2 linked regions of the Drosophila melanogaster genome follow. The protein of the gene in region 2 interacts with the protein of the main gene of each other region in a pairwise test. Each region holds a gene or a part of one and is shown on either strand. Other genes may lie near its edges.

What was found.
Region 1: the proteins of CG3632 (region 2) and CG3225 interact in a two-hybrid assay, tested with the Drosophila melanogaster proteins (one large-scale study listed by BioGRID).

What each region holds. Positions count from the first base shown.
Region 1 is NT_033779.5:4,815,112-4,820,020, reverse strand, and holds CG3225 (uncharacterized protein), read left to right. Parts: upstream 1-1,775; 5' UTR 1,776-1,854; coding exon 1,855-1,983; intron 1,984-2,047; coding exon 2,048-2,139; exon of another isoform or gene 2,140-2,205; coding exon 2,206-2,299; intron 2,300-2,357; coding exon 2,358-4,079; 3' UTR 4,080-4,105; intron 4,106-4,129; exon of another isoform or gene 4,130-4,163; 3' UTR 4,164-4,238; coding exon of another isoform or gene 4,239-4,341; 3' UTR 4,342-4,397; downstream 4,398-4,909. Other genes in the region: CG15629 (uncharacterized protein), read right to left, coding at 4,239-4,341, 4,398-4,909.
Region 2 is NC_004354.4:16,294,839-16,302,698, forward strand, and holds the start of CG3632 (uncharacterized protein), read left to right. Parts: upstream 1-1,832; 5' UTR 1,833-1,937; coding exon 1,938-1,952; exon of another isoform or gene 1,953-2,069; intron 2,070-2,244; exon of another isoform or gene 2,245-2,401; intron 2,402-2,803; exon of another isoform or gene 2,804-2,822; coding exon 2,823-2,946; intron 2,947-3,010; coding exon 3,011-4,002; intron 4,003-4,181; coding exon 4,182-4,372; intron 4,373-4,437; coding exon 4,438-4,633; intron 4,634-4,701; coding exon 4,702-4,887; intron 4,888-4,956; coding exon 4,957-5,121; intron 5,122-5,192; coding exon 5,193-5,319; intron 5,320-5,387; coding exon 5,388-5,493; intron 5,494-5,559; coding exon 5,560-5,870; intron 5,871-5,932; coding exon 5,933-6,037; intron 6,038-6,100; coding exon 6,101-6,686; intron 6,687-6,762; coding exon 6,763-6,913; intron 6,914-6,974; coding exon 6,975-7,079; intron 7,080-7,371; coding exon 7,372-7,574; intron 7,575-7,860. Other genes in the region: ERp44 (endoplasmic reticulum protein 44), read right to left, coding at 1-280, 385-476, 1,209-1,293, 1,472-1,528.

The sequences.
Region 1 (4,909 bases), on a different chromosome or scaffold from region 2:
CCCCTTTTCGCACCACTCGCTGGGTGTCGAGGACGCACAACTCCGGCGTTTGTAATCAGGGTCGTCAACGCGAAACTATAGTTATAATACGTAGATAGAACAAAAGGAACGTACCCTCCACTGGCATTTCCAAGGAAACTTTGCTCGTAAAAGCCGGAATAACAGTTAGCATTCATGCCGCCCTTTAAGTTTTGTGGCATTTAGTCAGGTGCCCAAAGACGGGGGAATCGGAATTTGGATACCGGCAGTGGAGTGCCGACAGCCGTTTGACAGTAAAACTCTGGCCTTGGGCGCATCTATTAAAATTTATATGCAACCGAAACTGGAACTGGACGCCAAACGGACAAGATACACACTGTGCGAAAATGTGACAGCCTCCCATAACCCGCAATGTAACTAAATATTCACTTAACTACTATTAAGTGGGATAGAAGGCAAATGAAATGACTAATCCATATGCACAGCGGAAATTATTATATTTTAGTATTTGCAATTTAAGATGTAGTACTAAATACTGAAGCATCGTTCTTAACACTTTTCGAAACTATAATCTTTCTCATGTAGCGAAGATACCTCTTTACCTGTGATGCTGATATCAGCTTGAGTGGAAAGTGAAAACATTTTTTCTCAGTGCCTTTTAGTTGAAGCACTTTCCGCGGACGGCGGTGTTGACAAACTGCTCGCAGAGTTTTTGGCTTTCGCTTGGCTTTGGCGACTTGGCGCCTCGTCCTTGGCATGAAGTTCGCCGCTGGCCTTTAATTAGCTTTTCTCGGATTACTCATACGCCATGGGGGCTGGGCTCGGGTCGAGTGGAGTGGAGTGGAGCTGGGCTCCATTGTTTCAGCACTGGCATGCGGATGTGGTTGGTCAAACGTGCATGTCGGGCACGTGTTTTGCTTTGGCTTGAAATTGGTGGTTGGGTTCGGATCGCATCGGATGGGGTTAAAGTTAAAGCGAGCGTTCTTAATGTCAGGGTCAATGCAGAATACGGGGGTCCTGCATGTGTGGAATCGACGGCCATCTTACTCGTCCCAATATTGGCGGCATGCATATAATACCCACTGACGGTGCATAAATCAAAATATATACAAAAAAAAAAATACAAGCGGGCAAAACAATGTGTGTGTTTTGTTGCTCGAGAGATACAATACAATATTTATTCAAAAGCAATTGGCCGGGCGCTTCTGTCGCCGACAGCTGCACAAAACTCGGGGGACACTTTTGACACACACACGTGGCCAGGGCGACCTTATAGTACATAATGAGTTTGCTGGGTATGCAGAGGAGCAAAGTGGCCTTGCCACTGGCAATTAGAGTTATTTTCACTAGCAATAGGGGACATGTCGGTGCTGCAACGTGCCCGCAAAATGGACAAAAACATGTGCATGAATAATACAGGTGAATGTTATGGACATTTGCCACCATTGGGGCTCGTGAAATGGTCGACTAAATCAAATATATTATAATTTGTGGGTACCAAAGGTATAAGCTTGAGGTACTAGCCAAACAATTTCTAAAAACTAATATTTTGCATTTTTAAATCTTAACTAAAATATAGTGAAATTTGATTATCCTCTTTTCTTATAGACCTCAACTAGGCGACTGTATACTTAGTGATTAAGTAAATACTTAGGTTTTTGGGCAATTCAACTTATTATATAGTTGATGGTTATCGTTAATCGAAATTTCAATACAATGCAATTTCCCGCCAAATAAAAGTGTGACCATTAGTTTATATTAAACGAAATTCCTAACATTCTTTTGCGCGCTTTGGTATTTTGCACCAATGCATTGAGTCCATCAGCTGTTTATTTAATTTCAAAACTGAATCTATAACGAAGTAAATAATTGAAAATGAGCACTTTTAAGCCAAAGTTCCTAAAACCCGAGACGGACGATGCAATCACAGATAGTGCCGGTGGTGAACAGCAGTCCTCCGCCTTTGTATTCAATGTCAATCACAATATGGGACTCATGGAGCAGGTGGGCTTACAAAATATTTCGTAAACATTTGCTAGAATAACAAATTAAACTTAAATTATTACAGAGGGAACGTTTGCCCATTCGTCAGTACCGGGATCAAATACTTTACTGCTTGGAAAAGCATCAAGTGGTCATACTAGTGGGTGAAACAGGCAGGTTTGTATGGAATTCCATGAGCTTCAAAGTAATGCTTCTAACTCTGTGGTTTTTCATATTTCCCAGTGGCAAGAGCACCCAGGTGCCACAGTATTTGTATGAATGGGGCTGGCACACCAAGGGACTCATTGGCATCACCGAACCACGACGCGTTTCCACCGTAAGTAATCCTAAAGCAAAGCAACTATAAAATCTAAAACTAAAGACTTCATTTCCAGGTTACGCTGGCTAATCGCGTGGCACAGGAACGCGGCGAACTGGTAGGTGACACGGTGGGCTATGTAGTTCGCTTCCTGGAAAGCATGAGCTCCTGTACCAAAATCAAGTTCATGACCGAGGGCATCTTGCTGAGGGAAGTCCTAGCCGATCCGCTGCTCACCCAATATGGTGTTATCATCGTGGACGAGGCGCACGAGCGGAATATGCTCACCGACATGATTTTGGGACTGCTCAAGAAGATCCTTCGCAAACGCAGCTCGCTCAAGCTCATCATTTCATCGGCCACCATAGATGCAAGCTTCTTCAGCGAGTTCTTCAGCTGGCCAGGATCGGGCGAAGTGAGCGTTAAGCTAAGCATTGAAGGTCGCATGCATCCTGTGAGTAATTTCTATCTGAACGAACCCTGCGCCGATTATGTGAAGGAAACTGTGGAGACCGTCTGGAAACTGCATCAAAAGGAGCCGCCTGGCGACATTTTGGCCTTCCTAACTGGCCAGGAGGAAGTCCTGGAGGCGCTGGATCTTCTGCGCGAATACATCGCCAGTTCGGAACAGGAGAATCTCAAGGTGCTGCCCATGTATGGTAGTATGTCGAGCACTGATCAGTTGTCGGTATTCTTTACCCCGCCCAAAGGAACCCGCAAAGTGGTGCTGGCCACGAATATAGCAGAGACCTCCATCACCATTCCGGGCATTGTTTATGTGATAGACTGCGGCTACGTCAAGGTAAAATGGTACAATCCCAAAACCTGCAGTGACAGTTTGGTTATAGTGCCCGTCAGCAAGGCGTCGGCCATCCAGAGAGCAGGACGAGCGGGTCGTATGCGTCCCGGCAAGGTCTATCGTTTGTACACTAAATCAGACTATGAAGCACTAGCTCCTCGGCAGCCACCCGAAATGCGACGCAGCGAATTGAGCGGCGCTATCTTGCAGTTAAAGGCGCTGGGCATCGGGAACATATTGCGCTTTGATTTCCCATCGCCACCACCGGCACAGAATCTACTTTCCGCACTGGAGAGTCTATTTGCCTTGGACGCCATCGATGAGCAGGGCAATCTGACGAAGCCCGTGGGTTACCTGTTGGCCGAACTCCCCTTCAGCGCTATGCTCTCCAAAATGCTCTATGTTTCCGGTCAGATGGGCTGCTCCGAGGAGATCATAACCATCATTGCGTTGCTGCAGGTGCAGTCTATATTTTCGCGCCCAGCTTCAGCGGTTGCCCAACAAAGTGGACGCATTGCACATCGAAAATTCGAAGTTGCGGAAGGGGACTTTATTACGATGTTGAACGCTTACACTGGCTTCGTGGAGGAGGGCATGACCAAGGAGTTCTGTGGCCAATACTTCCTCATCTACAGGAATCTTAAGAGGGCCCACTCGCTGAGGGAGCAACTCATCACAGTGGCCAGAAAGAAGTACGGCATTCCAATCTTCTCGTGCAAGGGCGATGTGGAAAAGTTGTGCAAGTGCATCACCGCCGGCTTCTTCACACAGGTGGCCTATCTGCATCACTCTGGAGTTTATAGACAAATCAGCAGCGGCACTGAACTGGCCATTCATCCGAACTCCACTCTCTACACACTTCCTCAAGCTCAGTACGTGGTCTATGGGGAACTGCTCCAAACGACGAAATTGTTCATGAACTACGTGACCGTAATCAAGAGAGAGTGGCTGACGGAGCTGGCGCCGCATTATTACCAACAGACCACAGTGCGGGATTAGCAGGAACTAAAGCCTTAATGATAGGTGTAAGTCTATTAAAATAGTTCATTAAATCAAATAACTAAGTTTATTGTAAAATTATAGGTGAAACGATGCCGCCTCTTGAAAAAGAACTTAAGCTTAGGTAATGGATTCCATATGATGATTCCTATTGTGTGTTTAACCAGCGGCGACGCGCCCTCGTCCCTGAAACATCATCATAGACTCGGGTCCACGGATGACACGCGACATCAGCTCCCAGCACATTTTGGCGGGCAAAAGACTGAGAAAACCAGCATTAATTACATTGTATATAACTATGTTAAATAGACTACTTACCATTTGAGAGGAGTGAGCAGGCGAATAGAGTTGGGCAGCACGCACCACACCTCGTTGCAGCGCACGGCGTTCTCGATGCGATCCGCCACATACTGCGGCTCCAGCATGGGCATCATCCGCGGCCGAACACCCGAAAACATGCCCGTGTTGATGTAGTACGGGCAGATCAAACTCATTTGGATTTGATCATAGCCATGGGCCTTCAGATCGGTGAGCAAACTCTCGTGGAAACCGATGCAGGCGTATTTGGTGGCCGCGTAGTCACTGCATCCGTAGGTGCCCAGCATTCCAGTTACCGAGCCCACAGTAACGATATGACCACGATTATTGCGCATCATGTGAGGCAGAAACGCTTTCACGGTCCAGTAGTGCGATATGATGTTAATGTTGTACGTGTTCTGGATGACCCGATCGTGCAGCTCCCAGAAGGGTTTGCAGCACACGATACCGGCATTGTTAATCAATATGTCGACGGGACCAACCTCCTCGGTCACCTGGCTGGCACGCTGGTA
Region 2 (7,860 bases):
CGAAGTAGCCCAGAATGAGGCGCTTCTTCGAGTCCAGGTTCTCCAGATCCTTCAGGGATTTGAACTCCTGAATGGGATCCTCCAGCTGCTTCTTGACGAACTCGAGGAACGCTTCGGCTGAACGCTGTCCTCGGTATTCGCGCTTGCTGAGCTGCCCATTGCGTACAATTTTCAATGTTGGATACTTGTTTATGTGGAAACGGGACGCGATGGCCGTTTCCTTGTCGCAATCGACCTTGCCTAGCACCACTTTTCCAGCCTCTGGAAACTCCTCTTTAATCTGTAAGAGAAATTCGATTGAATGCCACGTATTTATTCGATATAAAATGTATATGAATGTATCGCATTGTTTGTAAGCTTTTACTGGCGATCCATTTGACTCACCTTATCTGCAGCTTCCGCGAATATAGGTGCTAAAATATTACTAAACCGACACCACTCCGCATAAAAATTAAGGAAAACCAATTCATTAGACGCTGCAAGAAAACAAAACGTGTTTTTAATGTAGGCACCAAATTGTGTGTAAAATTGTTGATGCGTAGAATACAACTCCGTTCAGATACTAAATATAATAACTTTTAAAAACATATATTTGGTAATATATTTATATCAATATTGAATTACGGGTTTATGTATTAATAATTTAAATGCATATGTATTTTTATGGAATATATTTAAATTTGTCGCTGAATATACATATTAAAGTCAAGAAATTTCTAGCATCCTACTATTCCATAACTTCCGAAAGTTAAAATTTAAGGGGTGCAAGCCTAAGGCCAGGCTTTACTGTAAAAGTTAACGTTTGGATAATAAAAAAAAATAACTTTAAAAAAACAATATAGTATTACCGCAGGATTGTGTACAGGACACACCGTATAAAAAGGACCTATTCATGCAAAGACCAAACTTCGGACATTCTGAGCAAAGAACTGCCGACCAATGGCTAGTGCCCATTTTGGCGGACTATCGGACCGATGCAGCATGAAATATAAACCGCCCTAATTAAGTTTTATCCAAATTCCACACCTTGTCCTTTACGAAAGCGCATAAAACTTATTTTACCACGTTGGCAGTGCCGAATTGAGCGAGCCAGTGATTTTGTTTAGTGACACGTCAATGGGACAAGTCGGCTAATTGATTCCCGCTCACGCTGGCAGCGGGAATGGCATGGGGATGACTGTGATGGTTATGGTATGGGCATATCTCACCTAGGGTCATATCGATATTATCACTGGTCATGGGCACGGCTCCGGCGGCATCGGCCGGCTGTGTGTACTGGAGTAGCTGTAGAATCTGTAAATTCCATAGGATGTCAGTTCTGGTTAGTTAGTTATTTGGTTAGGGGGAGCCAAAAAAAAGCCGGGGCTGTCTGGCCGGCCCCTCCCCACTGTTTCCCCGCCCGCTGATCGAGCGGGTGAGCCACTCCAGTGACCAGCAACATGACCAGACAGAACGGAACACGTCGACTCACCGCAACTAGGGCCACACACGGCCCAAGCTTTCCGATTCCGATTCTGGCTCCAAACATTCTTGTTCGGCTTCCGAATGGCGAATGCGGCTGGCGAGGAGTGGGCGTAGAATTGCGTGCACCGGCGGAGAGTCCAAGCGATCGGTTCTCTTTTTTTCTGATTTCAGTTACACATCAGCTGGAATGGAATGCAAACGTACGCACAATTATTAAGTTTTACAAATTTTTGGTTGATTTTATCGGCTGGCCAGTGTTGGTTAGTCTCGAATGCACATCTCATCGGCAATCGAGTAACGATAGCTTAGTCACATGACTTGGCCATCGCTAACAGCAGCGATAACAGCGATAGCAGCAAACAACGATAGCAATTTCAATGGAAATGAAACAAAAAGTGTCTAAATGAATACATATGCATACATATGTATGTGCAACAACATTTGCAAATCTTTGTTTATAATAGCTGACGCTTATGGATTTTATGGTGGTAAATAGAGCGAGAAAATCTAGAAGCCAAGCGCGTTTTCAATTCGGCAATACGTTTTGAGCTAAATACCCCGAAAAGTCTGCTGAGCGAACGGTTTGTGGAATCCAAAAACCAAATGTGTGTGCATACATATGTACGATTGTAATGTGTTATTGTTGCTCCCCGAAATATCGAAACACAAACATACCTACATAGACAAATATACATATGAGTTTATGCAAACATACACATGCGTAAATGTTTAATTACTTTGTTTATGACAACATACACGGCCATTAGAATACGTTGAGTACGATAATCGGCCATTTTTCGCCTATTGGCTATGAAATCGTGATAATCTAGTCTATTGGTATATATGTGCGTGCGTATGTAATGCAGCGACACACAAATATGTGCATACTATATATTGCGCACCTTGTGGAACTGCAACTGTGTGTGCTCACATAAATGTATGTTCATTGTACATTGTACATCCATACGTGCATATATATGCAGTGCATTATCTATATTGCCACCACGACACTCAAAAACTCAAATATTAACTTCGATTTGTTCTAAAAGTGTTGATTGTGCCCAATTTATCATCCCAGTGACATTTATTTGGCTTTGTTTGTGCACTGCTTAATGCACATGCACATATGTGCATAGTATTATTTATTTATTTATGGGAGCCACTATACTATACGTATCGAATCGTCCCAATAACATCGCACACACACTGTTGTGCGTAATTATGTATTCGGATGGTGGATATAAGAGATATATGCACTTATAAGCGATAACCGGATTTCCAATGACACCCAAATCGCCTTGCCTAAATATAAGCAAATAAGTAATTTCGAATACGTTACATGTTAAGTATTCTTTTAGCCGATTCACACAATGTCCGATGGATCACCGCCTCCATCGATTTGCTTTATCCGTGCCGCCGAATCGTATCCAAAGTCACAAATGGAGAAGGAAGACTCCCAGCTGTTCGTCCCGTTTCAAGAGTGTAGGTGTTCCCCCATATGCTGTAACCGATAACACATGCTAATCTATAGTATATATACCACTAGTGGCCGGCGAATCGATTAAGTACCTGGGGCGCACGGATGATGGTATCCTCGCCCTGTCCAATTATCGGATATTCCTTTCCAAGCAGTCAACCGGCTACGAGACCTACGTTCCATTGGGATTAATCGAATCCGTACAGGTGCGAGATCTGTTCCAGCTGATTGTCAATTGTAAGGATGCCAGCACTGTGCGCTGCTCCTTTCCGTCGGCGGAACAGTGCTCCGACTGGCAGCGCCGGATCCATCTGATGATCGGGGTTCCCGAGTCACTGGAGACACTCTTCGCCTTTCCCTTCTACTCCTGGACCTGCGATGTGCTCGGAAGTGGCAATGGAAGCGGTATCGTTAGCGCCCAGGCCAACGGAAACGGCCTGATTGCCAAGGATCGTTGCCTAACGCTACACAATGGCTTGGCAAAGCCAACAGCCAACGTCACAGCGTCGAATCCTCTGCCCGATCCTGCCAGCGAGACCATCTCAGCCGCCATGAGCAATCGCCTGCAACGATCAGTGCGCTATGAAAGCGACTTTAAGAACGAGGTTGCCCGCTTGGGATTCGATCTGAAGGGCTCGTGGCGCATCTCCACGGCCAATGCCGATTTTAAGCTCTGTCCCTCGTATCCACCCAAATTGCTTGTGCCCTGCTGTATCACCGATGAGATGCTCCACAACGTGGCCAACTTCCGGGGATCACGAAGGCTGCCGGCTGTCGTCTGGCGGCACCAAAAGTCGGGTGCCATCTTGGCCCGATGCAGCCAGCCGGAGGTCGGTTGGCTCGGCTGGCGCAACACAAGGGACGAGCAGCTACTCAAGGCACTCGCCGATGCCTGTGCCTTTGACAGGGGCGAGCACGCCAGGCATTCCACCTGCGCCAATGCAAAGGCGCAACCAACAAAGGGCTCCAAGGAGACCAACGGCCAGTCGGGCTTATCCGGCAAGAGTTCACCATCTCTGGACGATTCCTCGCATGAGGAACTCACGCTGGATGAAATCAAGGTAAGTTTATTACCAAAATAGCCGGGTATTCTTGAAATGAAGGTTTCAGTTACCATATAAGAAAACATTCATGAATAATTATCATAAATTACTTAACACGGAGCAGTAAAATGATGTCAAAACCGCCAAGTGCTAATGAAATAATTTGATCATTGCTCTTAAATTGTATTTGCTTTCAGAAAATCCTCATTGTGGATGCTCGCAGCTACACCTCCGCAGTTACAAATCGTGCCAGAGGTGGCGGCTGTGAGTGCATCGAGTACTATCCCTGTGCAGAGATTGAGTTTATGAACTTGGGCAACATCCACGCCATTCGAAAGAGTTTCCACGCTGTCCGACAGCTATGCGCGTCATCCCCCGATGATCCAAAGTAAGTTTACTAGCTGATTATTAAAGATATATATATATTTATGTAATGGAATCATATTCTTGCAGCTGGTACGGACAACTGGAAAAGACCATGTGGATGCAGCACCTGTCGGGTCTGCTGGGAGCCACCATGACCGTTGTGCACACCATCGAGAAGAATGGACGACCCGTCCTTGTACATTGCTCAGACGGTTGGGATCGCACTCCACAGATCGTGGCCACGGCGCAATTATGTTTGGATCCCTACTACAGAACGGTTGAGGTACGTTGATATACATCAACATTTGTGTTCTATGGACTAATACTCTACCTACTTGCTTGTATTTGCAGGGGTTCCGCGTTCTTGTCGAGCGTGAATGGCTGAACTTTGGACACAAATTCGCCGATCGCTCTGGAAATGGTCCCAATTCCGATGAAGTTAACGAGCGATGTCCAGTTTTTCTGCAGTGGCTTGATCTTGTGCATCAAATACACAGGCAGTATCCATGCAGTTTTGAGTTTAGTATAAGCTATTTGGTAAGTGGTGGCATGGAATTTCGCACGGAGTTGTGCACATTAACTCCTTGTTATATGCATTCTTTTTAGATCAAACTGGCGCAACATTCGTTGTCCTGTCTCTTCGGCACGTTCCTATGTAATTCGCTCAGAGAACGCATCGAGAATTCAGTTTTCGACCGAACGTTTTCCGTGTGGCCATTTTTAGCGGAAACTATGTATAGAAATCCTCTCTATAAGCATGAGACTGAAAAGGTGGTTAATAACTTGATATATGCTGTCAGCCTAAAGGAGAATGCTAATGATTTTTGTGTTTTTTTTTTTAGGTTCTTTGGCCAGCGCACAGTGTGCGGTTTTTATATTTTTGGTCTGATGTATACCTTGGTAGTTTAGGCAACAAAAATGGAACTGATCTACCATTACTAAGTAATGAAAGACAGAGCGGACACAATGGTGAGTTGAGTAGAGTACTCCTAATTGAAATTGACTCACTTTTTACTCCTTACTGCCACAACCAATAGGCCTCATGGCGAAGACACGATCTTCTGAAGACTTAACAACGAATGAGTTGGGACAGAGCACCATTTCCAGGAGGTCCAGTGATCCCAACCTGACCGTTGAATCCATGTAGGTCAACTGAAGATTATTTGATCCGGCAGCAAAATGAATTTCGTTCTTTTCCCTACGATTCAGTGTTACAGATTGTTTCAATGCCAATAGCAACTCGATGTTTGACATACGATCCGAGGCCAACAACAGTGTTAGCGAAAATGTCCAAGAAAGTGTTAAAGACTCCAAAGAAGTAGAGCTGGACGTGACGGATGCAACTGAAGTAGGTCCATGTGGCCGTTCAAATAATCCCATTCCAGATTTCCATAACGACCAAAGTACAGCTTCTAAACGTGATATATTGGAAGTGGAATCACAAACGCAAAGGCGAAGTTCCTTGGAGTCCTCACAGCTGATCCCTGGGTCTGTCTTCATTTTTGGCTCATCCGAAAACGGTAAAAGATGTTAGGATAAAGCAAAAGAACTTAACTAAACTTAACTACCTTAATGGTTTTAGATAAAAATGCAGTTCCTTCGGAATCTGAAGAATCCTTGGCGACCTCACAGAAACTGAACTCTGAATCTGGGCGACCTTTTTTCATATTTGGTTCATCCGAAAACGGTAAGAGATGTTAGAATGAAGAATAGAATGAATACGTTACATTAACTATCTTAATGATTTCAGATCAAAGTCCAGTTCCTTTAAAATCTGAAGACACAAGTGATATTTCTCGCGCCCTGTGGCATGGCGCAATTGAAACCAGCACTGATACCCTTATTCCTGCGGAGCCCGTACAAAAACCAAACAGCGACAATAGCAGTAGAGATCACATAACATCCCCCACAATGGAACTGGTCAGTGGTGATAGAAAGCTGGAGTCGACTAGCACTGTCCAAGCCAGTAAAATCAGTCAGAGCTACAATAATTTGCCCAAGGTACACATAAGACCGAATGCCGTTATATGCCCGCAGCGGGTAGACGCTTTTCCCCATCACCTGGACCTACAAGTGCCAAGGGAGACGACGGGAAATCCGGACCGTTGCAAGCCGGAAAAGTTAGCCAAAGATGCAAATGCGAATGCCAATGCCAACGGATCCCTGCTGGCATCCGATGGCTACAACGGCGAGGAAAGTCTCTTTATATCACCCGACCTTCAGCGGTTCGTGGGCCAGTCGCCATTCGATGCTCCCTCGACGGGCGGACGAATACGGCGAAATACCTTCGGCTCGAGCTACAGTCGCGATATGAAGTTCACGGCTGAAAATGGCAGGTGAGTTGTGTGTACTTTCTCACTGGTGGCATCTCCCATTGGACTGAATCAAAAAAAAAAAAAACTCTACTTTCAGCGCACACCAATTTCCGTCGTCGGGGATCATTTCGTTGCCCCCAACACCATTTCAGGAGAGGGCTCAGTTCACTATATCCTGTCCAGATGGCCTGGCTCACGGACTCAGCGAACAAAACATAAGACTCCACCAAATCGTACAAGAACACAAGGTGAGCTCCGGTGCAAAAGCAGTTTTCATTATAGTCATTTTAATCACATACACTATTTCAGCTACGTGAGGAAATGCTACTGCGAGAAATACACGGTATGCGACTGGCTCTGTTGGAAAAAGGTTGCCCCAGCTGCAACAGCATCGTTTCGACAAATATGGAACATGTAAATAATGATCGTTTAAGATACAAAATGCGTGCATATATTCTTGAAAAGCGTGGTTAATGTTAGTTATAGACCCTCGGTGCAAAGTGACTGCCCAATTTGTTTAAAACATGGGCCTTGGTCTTTGGATTCTCACAGTGCATATTCTGTAAAATATGAATTTGTTTCATCCTTAAATCACCAGAGCGCGAAGTGGTGGTGGTGTTTCAATCAGGGGCAATACTCTGCCATCTAATCATAAGTTACAATGTGCATTAACTGTCAGTCGTCTAATTATTTAACTCTTCTCTAGGAAAATGGATCGGATATCGTTGAAAATGCTTCAACATGTTCCTGGGAGGCCGTCGAAGAACGTAGTGGTCCCGCCTCGTATGCCCCTTCCTCGATTCAAGAGAAAAAAGCCTCCAGTGTCCTCTGGGTGCCAGACCATGCAGTTTCGCGTTGCTCTAGTTGTCAAACTGAGTTCTGGCTTGGACGAAGAAAACATCATTGTCGGTGCGCATCCAACACTTGAAACCTTAATGATTTACTCTTAAAAGATTTTTAATATGTATGATTTTCGACTTGAGTTGAATATTACCATTTTTAGCGATACAAAATTCCTAGACCTTAAATGTCAGTAACTAAGACTCGAGTACCTTCTTTATGACTGTGCAATATTACGATTAAATTTGACTATTCAATTTCTTTTCCTAAAGCTCATATTCAACTTGAGTTGAAAGCGTGTTATAATTTTCTTACTTTACTGGGATACATGACTATACTAACAGTGTAAACTATG